Linked DNA regions of Stegostoma tigrinum. The protein of the gene in region 2 purifies or fractionates together with the protein of the main gene of each other region. This does not show direct contact. Links are inferred from orthologs where the notes say so. Each region holds a gene or a part of one and is shown on either strand. Other genes may lie near its edges.

Evidence for each region. Proteins that work in one complex are often made in the same cells at the same time.
Region 1: the proteins of hspb11 (region 2) and ift22 purify together in Homo sapiens (affinity purification with mass spectrometry; 3 studies listed by BioGRID and IntAct, with this or other methods). This does not show direct contact. The link is inferred for Stegostoma tigrinum from reciprocal best matches to the Homo sapiens genes IFT25 and IFT22.

Annotation. Positions count from the first base shown.
Region 1 is NC_081380.1:1,221,914-1,231,889, forward strand, and holds the start of ift22 (intraflagellar transport protein 22 homolog), read right to left. Parts: upstream 4,165-9,976; 5' UTR 4,084-4,164; coding exon 4,045-4,083; intron 1-4,044. UniProt on the Homo sapiens protein: Small GTPase-like component of the intraflagellar transport (IFT) complex B.
Region 2 is NC_081361.1:41,473,482-41,484,615, reverse strand, and holds the start of hspb11 (intraflagellar transport protein 25 homolog), read right to left. Parts: upstream 4,104-11,134; 5' UTR 4,062-4,103; coding exon 3,967-4,061; intron 2,937-3,966; coding exon 2,830-2,936; intron 2,492-2,829; coding exon 2,423-2,491; intron 2,309-2,422; coding exon 2,265-2,308; intron 1-2,264. UniProt on the Homo sapiens protein: Component of the IFT complex B required for sonic hedgehog/SHH signaling.

The DNA of each region.
Region 1 (9,976 bases), on a different chromosome or scaffold from region 2:
CACCACCCCCATCCCCATATCCCCATACCACCCCCATCCCCATATCCCCATTCCCCCCTTCCCCATATCCCCATTCCCCCACCATCCCCATATCCCCATTTCCCCCATCAACCCCCATCCCCATATCCCCATTACCCCCCATCACCCCCCATCCCCATCACCCCCCCATCCCCATATCCCCATTCCCCCCCATCCCCATATCCCCCACCATCCCCATATCCGTATTCCCCCCCCTTCACCCCCCATCCCCATATCCCCATTCCCCCCCCATCACCTCCCCATCCCCAATCCCCCCCCATCCCCATATTCCCTGTCCCCCCATCAGCCCCCAATCCCCATATCCCCGCTCTTCCACATCACCCCCCGATCCCCATATCCCCATTCCCCCCCATCACCCCCCCATCCCCGTTCTCCCCATATCCCCATTCCCCCCCCATCATCCCCCCATCCCCGTTCTCCCCATATCCCCCCCATCATCCCCCCATCTCCATTCTCCCCATATCCCCATCACCTCACCATCCCCATTCTCCCCATATCCCCATCACCCCGCCATCCCCATTCCCCCCATCACCCCCCCATCCCCATTCCCCCCCATCACCCCCCAATCCCCATATCCCCATTCCACCTCCATCACCAACCCCAAAACCATATCCCCATTCCCCCCCATCCCCATATCCCCCACCATCCCCATATCCCCATTCCCATATCCGTATTCCCCCCCAATCACTCCCCCATCCCCATATCCCCATTCCCCCAATCACCTCCCCATCCCCATTCCCCCCCATCACCTCCCCATACCCATCACCTCCCCATCCCCATATCCCCATTCCCCCCAATCACACCCCATCCCCAAATCCCCGTTCCCCCCCATCCCCAAATCCCCGTTCCCCCCCAATCACCCCTGCAATCCCCAAATCCCCCTTCCCCCCCACTCACCCCCCCATCCCCATTCCCCCCATCCCCATCAACCCCCTATCCCCATATCCCCATCAACCCCCCATCCCCATTCCCCCCATCCCCATCAACCCCCTATCCCCATATCCCCATCAACCCCCCATCCCCATCAACCCCCCATCCCCATATCCTCATCACCCCCCCATCCCCATATCCCCATATCCCCGTTCCCCCCAATCACCCCCCATCCCCATTCCCCCCCCATTCACCATATCCCCATCAAACCCCATCCCCATATCCCCATCAACCCTCCATCCCCATATCCTCATCACCCCCCCATCCCCATATCCCCATTCCCCCATCCCCATCCCCGCCAATCACCCCCCCATCCCCATATCCCCCCTAATCACCCCCCATCCCCATATCCCCATTCCCCCCATCACCCCCGCATCCCCATCCCCCCCCATCACCCCCGCATCCCCATCCCCCCCCATCACCCCCGCATCCCCATCCCCCATATCGCCATCCCCCCATCCCCATATCCCCGTTTCCCCCCAATCACACCCCATCCCCAAATCCCTGTTCCCCCCCAAACACCCCCCATCCCCATATCCCCGTTCCCCCCAATCACCTCCCCATCCCCATTCCCCCCCATCACCTCCCCATCCGCATTCCCCCCCATCTCCATATCCCCATTCCCCCCCATTCCCATATCCCCATTCCCCCCAATCACCTCCCCATCCCCATTCCCCCCAATCACCTCCCCATCCCCATTCCCCCCCATCACCTCCCCATCCCCATTCCCCCCCATCTCCATATCCCCATTCCCCCCCATCCCCATATCCCCATTCCCCCCAATCACCTCCCCATCCTCATTCCCCCCATCACCTCCCCATCCCCATTCCCCCCCATTCCCCCCCATCACCTCCCCATCACCCCCCAATCCCAATATCCCCGCTCCTCCACATCACACCCCCATCCCCATTTCCCCATTCCCGCCCATCCCCATTCCCCCCAATCCCCATCCCCCCCATCCCCATTCCCCATTTCTCCATCACCCCACCATCCCCATTCCCCCCATCAGCCCCCCGTCCCCATCACCCCCCATCCCCATAATCACCCCCATCCCCATAATCACCCCCCATTCCCCATATCCCCATTATCACCCCCCCATCCCCATATCCCCGCTCCTCCACATCACCCCCCCATCCCCATTCCCGCCCATCCCTATTATGCCCATTCCCCCCCATCCCCATATCCCCATTCCCCCATCACCCATATCCCCCGCCATCCCCATACCCCCATCACCCCCCATCCCCATATCCCCATCGCCCCCCATCCCCATAACCCCATTCCCCCATATCCTCATATCCCCCGCCATCCCCATATCCCCATCGCCCCCCATCCCCATATCCCCATTCCCCCATATCCTCATATCCCCCGCCATCCCCATATCCCCATCGCCCCCCATCCCCATATCCCCATCGCCCCCCCATCCCCATATCCCCATTCCCCCCCATCCCCATAACCCCATTCCCCCATATCCTCATATCCCCCGCCATCCCCACATCCTCATATCCCCATCGCCCCCCATCCCCATATCCCCATCGCCCCCCCATCCCCATATCCCCATCGCCCCCCCATCCCCATATCCCCATCGCCCCCCCATCCCCATATCCCCATCGCCCCCCCATCCCCATATCCCCATTCCCCCCCCATTCCCCCCCCATCCCCATTCCCCCCCATCCCCATATCCCCATCGCCCCCCATCGCCCCCCCATCCCCATATCCCCATTCCCCCATCACCCCCCCCATCCCCATATCCCCATTCCCCCATCGCCCCCCCCATCCCCATATCCCCATTCCCCCATCGCCCCCCCCATCCCCATATCCCCATTCCCCCCATCACCCCATATCCCCATCACCCACCATCCCCATATCCCCATCACCCCCCCATCCCCATAGCCCCCCCATCTCCATTCTCCCCATATCCCCATCGCCCCCCCATCCCCATTCTCCCCATCCCCATATCCCCATCGCCCCCCCATTCCCATATCCCCATTCCCCCCATCACCCCCCCAATCCCCACTCTCCCCCATCCCCATCACCCCCCCATCCCCATTCCCCCATCACCCCCCAATCCCCATTCTCCCCCATCACCCCCCAATCCCCATATCCCCATTCCCCCATCACCCCCCAATCCCCATTCTCCCCCATCACCCCCCAATCCCCATATCCTCATCACCCCCCAATCCCCATTCCCCCCAATCACCCCCCATCCCCATTCCCCCCCATTCACCATATCCCCATCGTCCCCCCATCCCCATATCCCCATCGTCCCCCCATCCCCATATCCCCATCGTCCCCCCATCCCCATTCTCCCCCATCCCCATATCCCCATTGCCCCCCATTCCCATATCCCCATTCCCCCCCAACCCCATATCCCCATCACCCCCCATATCCCCATAGCCCCCCCATCTCCATTCTCCCCATATCCCCATCGCCCACCCATCCCCATTCTCCCCATCCCCATATCCCCATCGCCCCCCCATCCCCATATCCCCATCGCCCCCCCCGTCCCCATATCCCCATCGCACCCCCCGTCCCCATATCCCCATCGCACCCCCCGTCCCCATATCCCCATCGCACCCCCCGTCCCCATATCCCCATCGCACCCCCCGTCCCCATATCCCCATCGCCCCCCCGTCCCCATCGCACCCCCCGTCCCCATATCCCCATCGCACCCCCCGTCCCCATATCCCCATCGCACCCCCCGTCCCCATATCCCCATCGCCCCCCCGTCCCCATATCCCCATCAGCCCCCCCGTCCCCATATCCCCATCAGCCCCCCCGTCCCCATATCCCCATCAGCCCCCCCGTCCCCATATCCCCATCAGCCCCCCCGTCCCCATATCCCCATCAGCCCCCCCCGTCCCCATATCCCCATCAGCCCCCCCCGTCCCCATATCCCCATCAGACCCCCCAACCCATCAGTCCCCCCCCATCCCCATCAGCCCCCCTGACCCCATATCCCCATCAGCCCCCCGTCCCCATCGCGCTCTCTTTCTCTCACAAACTGTCCTCCTCACTCATCCACTCTTTCTCCCGTATTTCCCCCTCCCCCTGCTCCCATGCCCGTCTTTAACGTACCTCTCGGGGTCCGAGCAGCAACAATTTGATGTTAAACATGGCGGCTGGTCAGGTGACCGCCGCTTCCGTTACCATGGAAATTGCCTCACCCGCCGCCGGGGCTGAAAACCCCGCCCTCCCCCGGCCGTTTGCCGCCGAACGTCTCCGATGCGGCGTCGAAATCCCCGCCTCCTCCGCGGATGAACACAAGAGGTCAAGGAGCATCAGCGGAGCCGGAAGGTAGACGCTTTGGGCCTAGATCAGTTAGGCCACAGGTTAGCCATGGCCCGAATGAATAGACGGTAGGCTCGAAGGGCTAAATTGCCTACTCCTGTCCCTGTGTTCCTCCACCACCGAAAGGCTGGTGGACATTGATAGTTTAAGGTCCCTTGGGCTCACAACCCCAGCCCTATGCCACAGCTTCAGAGTTAAAAAGTTCCTTTTCAGTGTGATCCCACCTCTGCTCTTCCGCTTTCTGGAGTTTCCACATTCCCTCTTATGTCTGCCAGCTGCTTCAGTTTCCTTCCGAAGTTTAAAGATGAGCATTGGCCATGCTAAATTGTCTGTGGTGTTCATGGATGTGTAGCCTGTGTGGATTAGCTGAGGTAAATTCGGGGGTTACAGGGATAGGCTAGGGCTCTAGGCATGTTGGTGCAGGCTTGATGGTGTTCTCTCTGCAGTGTATGAATGAATTCTGTGATAGCAATTAACGATTGACAGACAGTAGCAGTCGCATCCCAGGAAAGATAAATAGGCGTATACTTGCAGAAGTTTTTATTTAATTTTTTTGGTTGTTTTCTGTCATTAAAAAAGTCAGAGGAAATTTTAAGTCACTGTGTCTGTAATAACTATGTTATCACAATGATTTGTTTTAATGTAAGCTTTTAAGTCATCTGTCTTACAAATGCTGCACACATCAGATAGGGTTTTTGTTTCCTTTGAGCCTATTGTACATTCTGCTCCTTTCTGTGATACTTTGGTTATCATTATCCTGCACTATTGCCTTGCCATTGCTTTTTAAGTTTCCAGATTTGTACTACGTGATCTGTCCCATGAACATAGCCCAGACAATCACGCAAACCCAGCCTTCAACAAAGACTCCCAGCCTCCGATGACTCCTAACCCCAGTGCAGACATGACGAGGGGCCTGCCATGGCTGCATTGCAGCGTACTATGGCGACCTCCCAGCCTGAAGTATCGGCTTCCTGCCATGGTGTGATGATCTTCTGGCCTGGTGTACTGGCCTCCTGGTCCTGTGAAGCATAGCAGCCTGTAGTGGCGACCTCCTGGCCTGGCGTGGTGGCATCCCATGGCAACTTCGCAGTGTAGTGAGGCAGCTGCCCAGTGTGGCATCCTATCAGCCGAGCATAGAGGTCTCTTGGCCTGGCCTGGCCTGGCCTTGGCACGGTTTTCCAGTCTTAAGGTGGCACCAAAGCAGTCTCCCAGCCTCACGATCCTCAAGGTGAAACCCACCACAGTCTGGAGCCAGGGCCTAGTGCAAACTGGAGGCTATGTGCTAGCTTGGTATGGTTTGGAAGGTTCTGGACTTTTAGTTCTGTAACACTAGACATTTTATTTCTCTATTTTCTAGGATCTTGTAATGAAAGAAGCTGTACCTTTATACCTAATATGGGGCTGTAAGTGGTGATGTATAAAACTTTTCACTGTACTCAATTTAGTATATATGACAATAAAGCTAATTCAATTCAGTTCAAGCCAGCGTTCCATCCATTGACTCCATCTAAACTTACCACTGCCTCAGAAAGCAACCAGCATAACTAAAGACCCCTCCCACCCTGGTTATACACTCTTTCATCTTCTTCCACTGGGCAGAAGATAAAGAAGTTTAAATACATGAATGAACAGATTCAAGTATAGCTTCTTCCCCACTGCTGCTAGACTTTTGAATGTACCTCTCAAATGTAAACGCTGAGTATGCACACACGGGCTCTCGCCTCGCCTCGCCTCGCCTCGCCTCGCCTCTCGCTCGCTCGCTGTAACAATGTATACTACACTCTGTTCTGCTACCCTGATGCACTTTGCATGGTACCACATGCCTGTATAGCATGCAAACCAACACTTTTCACTGCATCTGGGTACATGACAATAATAAATGAAACTCTCCTACACTACTTAACAGAGAACCTCTTCGACAGACTTAGCTATAAAACATACAGTACTCGACCCTCCCTTCATCACTTGTTGGCCAAGAAGATATGTGCACAGTCTTGCCAAACAGCAACCTCTAAATCCTGCCAATGGCAAATGGTAAAGGTAGCAGAGATTCCGAGTCAGCCAGCACAGGTAAATGGTGGAGGTGGGATTTAGTGGCAGGAAGGGCATCAAGTTGAAAAACAGCAGTCACATCCAAACTACTGATTGACCTCAAAGTGACCGACGAATATTGTGGTGACCCCATGTGATATGGTACAAGCTAGAAAGAAAATGTATGTATTTAGGTTGTATAGAATCACAGTACGGAAGATGCCCTTTGAACCATTGAATTTGTATTGTCAAAAATGGTCATAAGTATTACTCAACTGTTGTCAGTAGTTTGAATGTAATGTAACCAATTAAGCTATAAAGTTTTTGTAATATCTCTTGCCACAGGACTACCTTAAACAATTATCTGCTTTTGAAAGGATGGCATTTTAAAAACTCCCGAAACAGCCTCCTTGCTGCTCCTCTGATTATAGCCTTGAACATAAGGAGGCTGGCAGAAATATAAAATGCAGCATTCGCCTCCCCTCTGCACCGAGCTCCCACAATACCCAATTGCCAAGTTAGCACTGGTTCTTTGTTGCATTCAGACCACATCACACTTTGTGTTCCCATACTCTGTGAGGGCAAACCCTGTGAACATTTATAGAGAGCCAATGACTCTCACCCAAGTTCCAAATGCAAAGTCTGCTGCAGTGATTACCACATGTTAACTTTCAGTGAAAATTCTGAATGAGGGCTTTGCTCTAGGATGTGGCCAGTACAGTTCAGTGTGGTGATTATCATGACAAACATGAATAAACATTTTATTATGTACTTGACTGTTTTTTAAGAAGTCAGCAAGAGTCGATCTCCTAAGGATAAGTCACAGATATTCACTGCAGCGTCCAGCAAATCTGTCATTCACAGAAACAGGGTTTGCAAGTGGATACCCATGATCTGAACATTTAGCCTTTATTCGTTCAGAAGATTAATGGGGCTAAAAGTAGAAACTCATGATCAGGATCCTGATGAAAGTCAAGCTCCGCTGTTCCACAACTTCTTACAAAAAAGAAATATGACCAGTTTCATCTCCAAGATGATTAAAACCTAACTCTGACGCTTGTCGAGGTAAAAATAAAGTTACTCCAGGTTTTATCGCCGTATATGAAAACAATTACTAGAACAAACATCTGCCAACAACTGGCAAAATTAATTATTAGTTACTACAATACAAACTTAAACCCTATCCCCTTTAAATCAAAAACAGCCACATAATTCATTCACAACTAGGAAAGATATACCTGTTTTGCAGAAATATGGGTGGAAAACACAGGCAAAAAGGAATAAATTCTGTTGATAAAGAATCCAAATTGATGCGCTTTAGAAATTTCTGTGTTTCCAAAATCTCCGAGTGTCATTTATTTTCCTCTCAGAGAGAAAGAGAGAGATCTTGTTTGCTTGCAGACTTTTGGAAGTCATAGTTCAATAACTGTGTCTCCTCTTATTGTGACAAATTGCTGTTTAAACCCATTCCAAAAGATATTGATGGATAGTTTATTTTAGTTTCAACTGAAAAGCACTTGATGCCAACAACTTTCATAAAATAATCAAATCTAACTTCTCAATTTAAAAAGTTACATGCCTTTGTATAACATGTAAATGACCAAGCCATTCAACATTTCCTTTAAGTTGGAATAAGAAAAATGGGTTCATTCTCTGCAAGAAGCTACTCAGACTTTCATTTTCCAGTTGTGTTTCAAATAAAACAAAAATAAAAATATAAATGATCAGTTGTCCTTACAAATGGCATACTGTGAACCCATAATCAGACAAACCCGGCAAAGACACGCTTCTTTCTCTCCCTATATACTTTACTTATACTTCACAATATACTTTAAGCATAAAATTTTACAAATTTACAACTAAATGCTTCAACATGAATATTACAAAAGTTGCAAAAACATTCACCTTACCCCTGTAGAGCATTTCCATTCAATATGGTTGTAATAATCTTCATATTTACAAAATAAACTTGATTTGGGTATACAACCTGAGAGCAAACCATTACAAATTGTAATGTCTCAACATATTTTCAATCTATTGATTTACACTAAACATTCTTTTAAACCTGAGGAAAGTCTACAGTTTCTAGCCCCCCAGAGTACTATGACTGAATGACATTAGGCAGTGACCTGCCTGCTCTGCATTCTGTGACAGCTGGTTCCAGCTTTAGTCCATCACTCAGCACATATTCCTGGATCTTGGAATGTGCCAGTCTGCATCGTTCAGTCGAGGATAGCACTGCACTGGAAGACCAAAAAGACCAAAAACAGACCAAAGAATTGCCTATACTGCACAGAGTTCACATTAGGACCTGCTTGAAATGAATCGCGACAGAAACCATTCCATCTTTCTTCAGACCTTCTTTGCAAAAGCACAGCACAGAAAGAGATGGACAACAGTCTCTCCTCAACACAGCCACCTGAAGGACAACCTGTATAGGGGGTGAGGCCCTGAGTGTGTAGGAAGGATCTGAAGGAAAGACCTCATTTATTACTGGCCAAGATTCATGTTGGTGTTTGCTTATAAGGTTTAGCTACAGGCCATTCTATCAAATGATTTTGACAGTCTGCTAAGGGAACCACCTGAGAGGATTGAACTTCTCCTTTCCCTGAAGGATCTTGAGGACATTACATGCTGACCACTGCCTGATGAACTTGTGGCCAAAGGGGTTTTCTCCACAAACTTCTCCCTAAGAAGCAAGTAGTGCAGCATGGTCCAACTACATTTAAATGAGTACTTAAATCTATATTCACTGTAGAGAATCTCTGTCTCACCTCCCCACCACCCACCACACACACTCACACACTTTCTATCTGACGCGCACACCCTCTCACCACCCCACCCCACATGCGCTCATACAAACACACCTTTCTCTCTTCCCGCCCCCCGCCTCTCTCACACACACACACAAATTCTACTTTGTTCAAAAAGCACACAATTTATAGACAATCAGTCAATCTGACATTTTATAAATTCTTACTTTAGAACTGAAACCAGTCTGACTCAAGACCAAAACACCAAAACACAGTTTCTGAACAAGGCCTGACACCTAACATGCATTGTCTGACTTAAAATGTCACCTCTTCTTTACATTCATATAATCTTTCCTTCTCTCAGGACAGTGACTTCAAAGGAATTTGTGGATTTACATATACATATTATTTAATCAAAACCTTATAATTTATGAAAGATTTAACAACATGTTAGGTTGTTTAGCATCTCCTCAGCAGTGGTGTGACCCCTTGATCTTTTACTTCTAAATTCTGTGTTGATACGGCCTCTCTCACTAATACCTGAAGAAGGAGTAAGACGCCAAAAGCTTGTGATTTCAAATAGACCTGTTGGACTGTAACCTGGTGTGTGATTTCTGACACTGTAGAGAAGTACAATGCAGATATGGAAATCAGGGAAGGGGTCTATGATACACTTGAAAAGAAAGCAGAGGTATTAGTGATTTTAGTGAATATCTCCCCAAACCCCCAGGTGAGATATTTCCCAGGCTGCTGTGGGAGGCAAGGGACAAGATTGCAGGGGCCCTGATATTATTTTTCAAATCCTTTCTGGACACAGGAGAGGTGCTAAAGGACTGGGGTTAGCTAATGTGGTCCTATTTTGCAAGAAAAGTGATAGGGACAAACCAGGAAGCTGGAGGCAAGTGTGTTTAATATCTGTAGTAAGGGAGATATTT
Region 2 (11,134 bases):
AAACATCTATTGTCCCCATCTACTTGCCCTTTAAAGTATGACAGCTGTCTTGAATCACTGCAGTCCATGGGGCTAGGTAGACACAGCGGGAAGGGAGTACTAAGATTGAGATGTACAATAATGAAGGAATGGCAATGTTAGTTCCAAGTCAGGTTAGTTATGATTTGAAGGAGAATTTGCAGGTGGTGGTGCTCCCACATGTTTGCTCTCCATGGCATAAGTGCTCGAAGTTGCAGGTTTGGTAGGTGCTGTAAAAAGAACCTTGGTGAGTGGTGCAGCGCACCTTATGGAAAGCACACACTGCTAACACTCTGCATCAGTAAGAGAGGCAGTGTATAAGTAAGTTGGTGGATAGGATGCCAAACAGGCTGGATATTTTATCCTGGGAAGAAATTCTTGAGAGTTATTCGCGCTGCACACATCTAGGCAAGTGGAGTATTCCATCACATGATTTGTGCCTCATAGATCGTGCACAGATTTTGGGGAGTTTGGGGTCATTTACCTGTCACATTCTTAACCTCAGACTTCCTTTTGTACTCACAGTTTAATGCGACTAGTCCAGTTCAGTTTCCAGTCAATGGCAACTTCACAATGTTGGAAGCAGGGGATTTATTTTAGTCATTCGTAGGTCGTAGGTGTTGCTGGCTGGCCATCATTCATTACCCATCCCTGGTTGTGCGTGAGAAGGTATGGTGAGCTGCCTTCATACTTCCGATTACCATGGATTCCAGTTTTGCTAGGGCTCCTCGATGCCACACCGTCAAATGCAGTCTTGAGGTCACTCTCATCTCACCTCTAGAAATCTGCTCTTTTGACCACGTTTGAACCAAGGCTGTAATGAGATCAACAGCTGACTGGCCCTGACAGAACCCAAACTGGGCGTCACTGAGCAGATTATTGCTTAGCAGGTGCTGCTTGATAGCTCTGTTGATGACACCTTCCATCACTTTACTAATGATCGAGAATAGATTGATGGGCTGGAAAATGACCAGGTCAGATTTATCCTACTTTTTATGTACAGAACATATCTGGGCAATTTTCCAAACAGTTGGGGAAATGCCGGTGTTGTAGCTGAACCGAAACAGCTTAGCTATGGTACGGCAAGTTTTGTATTCTTCAATACTATTGCCAAAGTGTTGTCTGGGCCTGGAATCTTAGCCGTATCCAATGTCTTCAAACATTTCTTTGGCTGAAGGCTGGCATCTGTGATGTGGGACCACTGGAGGAGGCCACAATGGATCATCCACTCAATATTTCTGGTTGAAGATTACTGCAAATGCTTCTACCCTACTGTTTGTACTGATGTGCTCAACTCTGCCATCATTGAGGATGGGAATGTTTCTGGAGATGACTCCTCCGATGAGTTGTTTAATTGTCCACTGATGATTGGATGTTGCAGGACAGTGGAGCTTAGATCTCATCAGTTGATTGTGGGATAGTTTTGCTGCCTACAACTTGCTGTTTATGCCGTTTGGTAGCCCTACTTAGTTTCACCAAGTTGACAACTTATTTTTAGGTATGGCTGGTGCTGCTCCTGCACACTCCATTGAACCAGAGTTGATCGCCTGTCTTGATGGTAATAACTGAATGGGGGTATGCTGGGTCATGTGGTTGCAGATTATGTTGGAGATTCTGCTGCTGTGATGCCCATAGCACCTTATGAATAGCCAAACTTGAGTTGCTAGGTCTGTTTAAGTCTATCCCATTTTGGCATTGTGATAATGCCGCATAACACGATGATGGGTAATCCCAATGTGAAGCCAAAGTAATGCCACTGTATGTGAAGGGACGATGGTTAGATTATTTCCAGCTGGAGAAAGTCATTGCCTTTTATTTGAGTGGCATTAATGTTAGCAATACAGCAAGAAACAGACCATTTGGTCAACCCAGTCCATGCTAGTATTTATAATTCATTAAAGTCTCTACCCTTTTTTGACCCTTGAATTGTTATGTTATTTTACTTAGCAAACTAGGTCACAGTGCACCTTGCATTCCCAAAATAATGAATATTATTTTGAACCACTTAGTTAAATTTAATAATGTGTACGTGTACATTATTTGAATTGGCCTCATTTTCCAACTTGGGAAAGTGATTGTCCTTCGCTCAGAAGCTTGCTGCAACAGCACCATAGAGATCAAAAACTTCAGTAGAAATGGGGAAATCAAACCGCTACAACACTATTCAATACTACTTTGGGGAGGAACTGACCTATAATGATTTCATACCTAATATGTTACCTCAGCTTTTTGTAGAATTTACTTACTGTAAATTCCTTTACTTGAAGCTGTTCCTCAGAGCGCTCAAGTTCTGGTAAAAAGTAAGCACAACAGGATGAAAACCATCAAAAGAAATGGAACGGAAGCAACTATTTTCAACAACAATCTTGGCAATATTATCAAAATATTTGTTGAGTACACTTACCATTGTTACTCAATGGTTCAAAATCTACAGGATCTCTTGCTATACTTCTCTCAATACCAAGGTTACGCACTGGAATGGTAAACCAAGAAAAACTTATTACTTTTGGAACATTTACAATTATTTTGAGTAGATGGTGTCTTACTTTATTCTCATGAATTTTGCAAGATAGTTCAATGTTTACTCATGCATTTACACTGAAATATAGCTAGAAATATACTCCTCTCAAAACTGAATAGGTATTTGCAAAGTCATGCATAAAAGCTTGGTAAAGATCATGAATAATTAAGAACTACTGTTCATTGCACTTTATTCTTTGATCCATATGGAACGAGGTAAAGTAGCTTGTTTATCATAGTAAATCATTAGTATATTCAAATATAGTAATTAAAAAGCAGCAAAAATCTTACCATTGTAACAGTGAATTTTCATTGAGCTAATTTTTATAAGATTAGCAAAACTTAGGATAAATTCTTGTGGGAACATTCCTGTTGTAATCCAAAATGATTCTGTATTACTGTGAACAGAAGTACAGTATGAGACTTGGTATTTTTGTTTATTGAATTTTCATCTTTTTTTCTAATCTGTGTCTCATTAGTATCATAGATAGCCAGTTCTAGCAGGTGACTGTTCTTCGTGCCGAGCCTAGATGAAAATGACTTGCATTCATAGAGCACCTTGAATTTGATAAAACAATCCCAAGCATTGGATAGTGGGTAAGAGAAAAGGAAAACAGTCAAAGTTTCTGGACTATAATCTGGCAATTCTTGGGATAAAATTTGCTACATTTTTCATTTGGGTGCAATCTCCCTTTAATCAGAGTGGGAGGGGAGACACTTGCATTTGAAAAGCCGGAATATTATACCTAGTTATCTTGTCCAATACTTAGCACTCTCAAAACCGCAGATAATCTGTGGTTATTTCTGTCTGTGGGACCTTGCAATGCGTACAATTAGCTGCTGTTAAATGTTGAATTACAACTGTAACTACACTTCAATGGACTTAGTTAGCTGGAAAACACTTTGAGAAAGCTGGTGGTTGTGAAAAGTGTTGAAGAAAGGTCCCGAGCCGAAACGTCAACTTTCCTGCTCCTCTAATGCTGCTGGGCCTGCCGCGTTCCTCCAGCTCCATACTGTTATCATATAAATAAAAGGTCTTTTTATCACTAGGCTATATTGCAACCTCTACCAAAGCAGGGGTGTTCGCTTTTGACCGTGAAAGAAGTCTCACTGATAGATCTAACTACCTTTCTGCCGAGAATTCCACCTCTACCACCCGACACTGGTTCTGCAAAGAATTGAGGCATTTTACTGCATAATCCGGGCATGGAGCTGAAGTAATAGCATCAGACTGTCGACGCAACCATTTCATAACTAAAATAAAAAGCTGACGAACAGCCAACTTTGATAGGATTTCTCGCAGGGCAATGGGTACTTAGAAATTCTCAAGGTGTAGGGCACGCGCCAGGCGCTATATCAACGCAATGCTGTGTTATCTAAGGGGACGATCCTGTTCGCCAACCGCACGGACAAGCTGAAGATCCTCACCCGTCCAGGATGTTCTCCGGCGGGTGTTTCTCATCTGAAGACGCCGCCAACACAACCTGCGTCCCCGCCACCGTCAAACCGAAATCCCGCTTCATGTCAACCTCCCCGGCCGTTACTACAGCAACCCGCCACTTCCGGTCCTTCACATATACTCCCCCCGTGACCGGCGGTGACTTCCGGTCCTTCCCATAATCACCTTCCCTCAATTTTCTGCGTTATGGTTCCGTGCTCCCCTCCTGGGAAACAGGAGGTTTAGTAGTTTGGTGAGTTTTACAGCTCATTTGGGAATCCTTGTGGCTACAGCCAGGCACTAGCAGTGACCAGCCAGGGTAAGTGTTGGACTCGGTGGAATAAGTGGGCAGAAGTTTAAGGGAAAGTGTTTCCTCCCCAGCCCTCATTTTCAGGATGTGACATTTGCAGCCACTTGTGAGAGCTGGGAGAGATATTAATCTAGGATAGAAGAGCCTGACTCTATTGTCCTAGTGAGTTGCTGAATGAATTGTTTTTGGACTCATCCGGATTTTGTATTGCCTGTCCCTCTCCCAAGGAGATATGAGTGTTTTTTTTCAACACTGGAGATACTTTAGTGGTTAAGTTTAAAATTAGCTTGATATGAATTTTAAGCAGTAAGAAATTTAAGGATGTTAGTATGTTGTTCTATCATGTAATTGATTGTAGGTAAGAGAAATAACTGAGATTATGCACATGAAGCAACACGCCACTCTAGTTCCATTAGAGATGGGTAATATGTGACATTTAAATTAATGTTGGTGGAATACAGTTTGTTTTCTGATGAAAGCGTTTGTTTTGACTGTCTTGTAAAAAACTATGTCTTCAGGGGGTAATTTGACCCTGAAAAAAGACACTAGATGATTACAATAGAATACATTTAAAGGTTAGTGTTTTTTTCTTTGTTTTGCATGGTGACCTAAACTTCTCAAATGGGTTTGTCTAAATCCAACATTATCATTACAAATTTTGATGTCTGGTTTTGGAAATTTATGTTTTATAATGGTTCATGGTGACCACATCTCTAGCAAGTGTTGGTCGCTTGAGGAACTGTGGCTCAGAGTTAACATCATAGAATCATACCGTGCAGAAGAGGCCCTTCGGCCTATTGAGTCTGCACCGAAACATGAGAAACACCTGATCTTCAACTTAATCCCATTGATGAGCTCTTGACCGTGACCTTGAATGCTATGACCTGTTAAGTGCTCATCCAAGTACTTTTTAAAGAATTTGAGACACCATACTTCTACTACTAACCCAGGCAGCATATTACACACTGTTGCCAAAAAAGTTTTTCCTTTCATTTGCACTCTCCACCGAACCTCCTCCTCACCTTCAGCCTGTATACCCTTGTCACTGACCTTTTAACTGAGGGGAATCGCTACTCCTTATCCATTCTGTCCATGCCCCTCATAATTATGTAGACCTCAATCAGACCACCTTTCAGTCTTCTCTGCTCCAGTGAAAGCAATGCAAGCCTATCAAACCTTTCCTCAAACTTAAATTTTACATCCCAGGCAGCACTTTGATGAATCTCCTGTGCATGTCCCCCCGTGCCCCAATAGTAGTTGTTCCCAGCCTACCTTGGCCATATCTTGCCTTATTTTACTAAAATCTGCTCTCCCCAAGTGCAAGCCCTTTTTCTTTTTGATGAGCTGGAATCTGAACTTTGTACTCTGCAACTCATCATGGAGGGTAGATTTACCTGGACACTGTTTCAGAAGGCAGTCACGCCCCTTAGATTAACTACCTCAAATTCGGTCAAGAACAGGGTGACGTGATGACAAGTGAGGCATGTAGAGGAATCCAGGAGGTAGGCTGGAGATACCAGCCCTTGAGCTTATCTAACAGGTTTGAGATTCTTGCTCCCTGTGTAATGAGAGTGGGGGCTGTAGGGCGGATGAGCAAACTGACCAAAGTGGTACAGGAAGCCATTCCAGAGGGGGGAGAAGAAAGAAAAGTAGTTGTAATCAAGAGTAGTATAGCCAGAGGAATAGCCATTTCTGTGTTTTCAGGATCAAGAGTCCTGAATGTTATGTTACTTGGCTGGGTTCCGGGTATCTCATCTGGCTGGAGAGGAACTTGGAGTGGGAGGGAAAGATCCAGTTGTCATGGTCCATATAGGTAGAAAGAGGAAAGACGTTCTGCTGAGGTAATATGAACAGCTTAAGGGCTCAATTAGAAAGTAGAACCAAAAGTTAATCTCTGATTTCTATCTGAGCCACAAGGGAATAGGCATAGGGTGAGCAAGATTAAAGAAGTAAACACGTAGCTCAAAGATTGGGTGTATAGGAGAAACGGGTTTGAATTCATAGGACTTTGGCACCAGTACTGGAGAAGGAGGGAGCTGTTCCAATGGAATGGACTCCCACCTGAATTATGCTGGGATCAGAGCCCTGGAGAATCACATAACTAGGGCTGTGGACAGCGCTTTAAACTAATTATTAGGAGGGTGGGTTCAGTTGCATGGAAAAAGTTAAAAGCAGGGAGGACTCAGCAGAGGTTAGTAAAATTTTCAGAACAAGTAAAAGGAGAGAGTATGGAACATGTTAAAAATCTAACTTCAGGCACAGCAGATAAGGAGACAGCCATGAGAAGGGGGCAGTCGACACAGGACCGAAGGTGTCATACTTCAATAAACGCTATATATGAAACAAGATAAATGAGTTTGTAGTGCAGACTGAAATTGATGGGTGCATTGTAGTGGGCATCACAGAGACATGGCTGCAAGGGGATCAGGGCTGGGAACTAAACATCTGAGGAAACATGTCCTATTGAAAGGACAGGCAAATGGACAGAAGGGGCAGCGTTGCCGTGTTAGTGAGAAGTCAAATTAAATTGATAGCAAGAAGTAAGAAAGAGTTGAAATGTGTAGAATCTGTGTGGTTAGAACTGCAAAGGAAATAAGACCCAAATAGGAGTTATGTCCTAGCAGTAGTTAGGATATGGGGAAGAAAATAAACTAGGAGATAGAAAATGCATGTAAGAAAATTACTTTTTTTATAATAATCATGGGGGACTACAGTATGCAGGTGGACTGGGAAAATCAGATAGGTAGTGGATCTCAAGAAAAGGAATTTGCAGAATGTCTACGAGGTGTTTTTGTTGGAGCAGCTTGTGGTAGAGCCCACTAGAAAAAAGAAACATACAAAGGGGATTACGAAGCAACCATGGCTGACGAGAAGTCAGGGACAGCATAAAAGCAAATGAAGTAATATACAATGGGTGAAGATTATCCTGGGAAGTCTTTAAAACCAGCAGAGTATAACTAAAAAAGCGGGTGGATGAAATATGAGTGTAAACTAACTAGTAATATAAAGGAAGATTGCAAGAGTTTTTTTTAGATATATGTAGCTAAGAGAGAGAGGCAAGAATGGACGTTGGACCACTGAAAAGTGATGCTGGAGATGTAGGAAGGCCTGAAGGTGGATTAATCACCTGGACCAAAGCATTCGTGGTGATCTTTCAGGAATCATTGGAGTCAGGGAGGGTGCCAGAGGAGTGGAAAATGATTAATATAACACCCTGTTTAAGAGGGGAGGGAGGCAGAAGACTGGAAACTATATGCCGATTAGTCTGACCTCAGTCGTTTTTTTAAGATTATAGAGCCCGTTGTTATGGATGAGATTGAGTGTACTTGGAAGTGCTGAGTCAGCATGGCTTCCTTAAGGGGAGGTCATGCCTGACAAATCTCTTTGCAGAACTAATGAGCAAGTTTGACAAAGGAGAGCCAATGGACATGAGCTATTTGGATCAATAGGCCTTTGACAAGCTGCCTCTGATTAGGGATAGCCAGCATGGCTTTGTGCATGGGAAATTGTGTCTGACAAAACTGAGCTTTTTGAGGACATGACCAAGAGGATAGATGAAGGCAGAGTAGTGGATGTTGTCTACGTGGACTTTAGCAAGGCATTTGTCAAAGTTCTACATGATAGACTGGTTAATAAAGTTAGATTGGATGGGATCCAGGGAGATATAGCCAATTAGATACAAGTTGGTTTGCCAGTGGGAGACGGAGAGTAGTGGTGAAGGATTGTTTCGGAGACTGGAGGCCTTTAACTAGCGGTGTTCTGCAAGGATCAATACTAGGCCCACTATTGTTTGTCCTTTTTGTACAATGATCTACATGAGAATATAGGAGGCAAGGTTAGTTAGTTTGTAGACGACACCAAAATTGGTGGAATACTGAGCAGTGAAAGAGGTAATCTCAGGGTACAACAGGATCTTGATCAGATGGGTCCATGGGCCAAGGAGTGGCGAATGAAGTTTAATTTAGATAGGTGTTGCATTTCGGTAAGACCGTCTGGGGAAGGACTTAAACTGTTAATGGTAGGGCCCTGGGGAGGACTGATGAATAGAGAGACCTAGGCGTTCAAGTACATAGTTCTTTGAAAGTGGTGTCACAGGTAGACTTGGTGGTGATGAAGACATTGGCACACTTTACTCAAGGGTCTGACCAATGAAGGCAAGAACATAGAACATTACAGCGCAGTACAGGCCCTTCGGCCCTCGATGGTTTCACAGGTCGGTGCAACAATTTGAAGCCCATCTAACCTACACTATTCCGTTATCATCCATGTGTTAATCCAATGTCCATTTAAATACCCTTAAAGTTGGCAAGTCTACTACTGTTGCAGGCAGGGCATTCCACGCCCTTATTACTCTCTGAGTAAAGCACCTACCTCTGACATCTGTCCCATATCTATCACTCGTCAATTTAAAGCTATGTCCCCTCGTGCTAGCCGTCGCCATCCGGGGGAAAAAGGCTCTCACTGTCGACCCTATCTAATCCTCTGATCATCTTGTATGTCTCTATTAAGTCACCTCTTAACCTTCTTCTCTCTAACGAAAACAGCCTCAAGCCCCTCAGCCTTTCCTCATAAGACCTTCCCTCCATTACCAGGCAATTTCCTGGTAAACCTCCTGTACACCCTTTCTAATGCTTCCACATCCTTCCTATAATGCAGCGACCAGTACACAATACTCCAAGTGTGGCCGCACCAGAGTTTTGTACACCTGCAACGTGACCTCGTGGCTCTGAAACTCAATCCCTCTACCAATAAAATCTAACACACCGTACGCCTTCTTAACAACCCTATCACCCTGGGTGGCGACTTTCAGGGATCTATACACATGGACACCGAGATCTCTCTGCTCATCCACACTACCAAGAATCTTACCATTAGCCCAGTACTCTGTATTTCTGTTACTCCTTCCAAAGTGCATCACCTCGCACCTTTCTGCATTAAACTCCATTTGCCACTTCTTAGCCCAGCCCTGCAGCTTATGTCCCTGTGTAACCTGCAACATCCTTACACACTATCCACAACTCCACCGACTTTAGTGTCATCTGCAAATTTACTAACCCATCCTCTGCGCCCTCATCCAGGTCATTTATAAAAATGACAAGAGTGGCCCCAAAGCAGATCCTTGCGGTTCACCACTAGTAACTGAACTCCACGATGGACATTTCCCAACAACCACCACCCACTGTCTACTTACAGCTAGCCAATTTCTGATCCAAACCGCTAAATCACTCTCAATCCCATGCCTCCGTAGGAGTTGGGATGTCATGTGGCTGTGCAGGACATTGGTGAGGCCACTTTTGGAGTACTACATACAATTCAGGGTGTCATGCTGTAAAGAATTATGTTAATAAACTGTAAAGAGTGCAGAAAAGATTTACAAGGATGTTACTGGGATTGGAGGATTTGAGTTATAAGGAGAGGCTGGACAGGCTGGGACTTCTTTCACTGGAGCAGAGGAAGCTGAGGGGCCACTTTACAGAGGTATATAAAATCTTTTATAATGCCTTTCCCTAGGGTAGGGAGTCCAAAACTAGAAGGCATAGGTTGAAGTTGTGAGGGGAAGATTTCAAAGGGACCTGAGGGACAACCTTTTCACACTGAGGGTAGTTTGTGAGTGAAATGAACTGCCAGAAGATGTGGTAGATGCACATTTTAAAGACATTTGGACAGGTACATGATTAGGAAGGTTTTAGAGGGATATGGGCCAAATGTTGGCAAATGGGACTAGTTTAAGTTTGGAAAGCCATAATGAGGAACCTGGTCAGCAAGGACAGGATGGACTGAAGAGTCTATTTCTGTGCTGTATGACTCTATGACTCTGTGACTCTATGAGATAAAAGCCCATGGTGTTAGGAGCAAAGTATTGGCGTGGATAAAGTATTGGCTAATTGGCAGAAGACAGATAAAGGGATAAAGTGAGGATTTTTCAGAATGGCAACAAGTGACTGGTGGAGTTCAGCAGCGGAGAGTGTTGGGACCAGAGCTATTTATTATATATTAATGATCTGGATGAAAGAACCAAGGAAATGGAGTTTTGTTTTATTCACTGATGGGATGTGGGTTTCACTAGTCAGGTCAGTATTTAAAACATAGAACATAGAACAGTACAGGCCCTTTGGCCCATGATGTTGCACTGACCTATTCTCCTAAGATCAAACTACCTTCCATACCCTACATTTTACTATCCTCCATGTGCCTATCCAAGAGTCACTTAAAAGTTTCTAAAGTATCTATGGATGAAGCGCTAAATTCCAGAGTTGAGGTGAGAGTGACAGCCTTTGAAATCAGGGCTGCATTTGAACAAGAGTGTCGAGTCGTCCTAGCAAAACTGCAGTCAATGGGTATTGGGACACATTCTCCTCTGGTTGGAGTCATAGCTGGCAACCTGAAGATGATTTTGGTTGCTGGTCAGCCACCTCAGCTCCAGGACGTCACTGTAGGAGTTCCTCAGGATCGTATTCTCAGCCCAACCAATCTTCAGCAGCTCATTAATGACTTTTCCTCCATCATTAGGTCAGAAGTGGGGATGTTCATCAACACAATGTTCAGCACCATTCGTGACTTCTCTGTTGCTGAAGGAGTCCATGTTTAAATGCAACAAGACCTGAATGATCACCTGGCGTGGGCTGACAAGTGACATTCACACCATACAGGCAATGACAGTCTCCAATAAAAGACAATGTAACCACCACCGTTACATTCAATGATGTTACCATCACTGAATCCATTGCTGTCAACGTCCTGGGGGTTACCATTGATCAGAAACTCAACTGGACTCACTCATCATATAAATGCAATGGCTGTAACGGCATTGCGAGTCTATCAACAGCACGTGGACTGCAGTCGTTTAA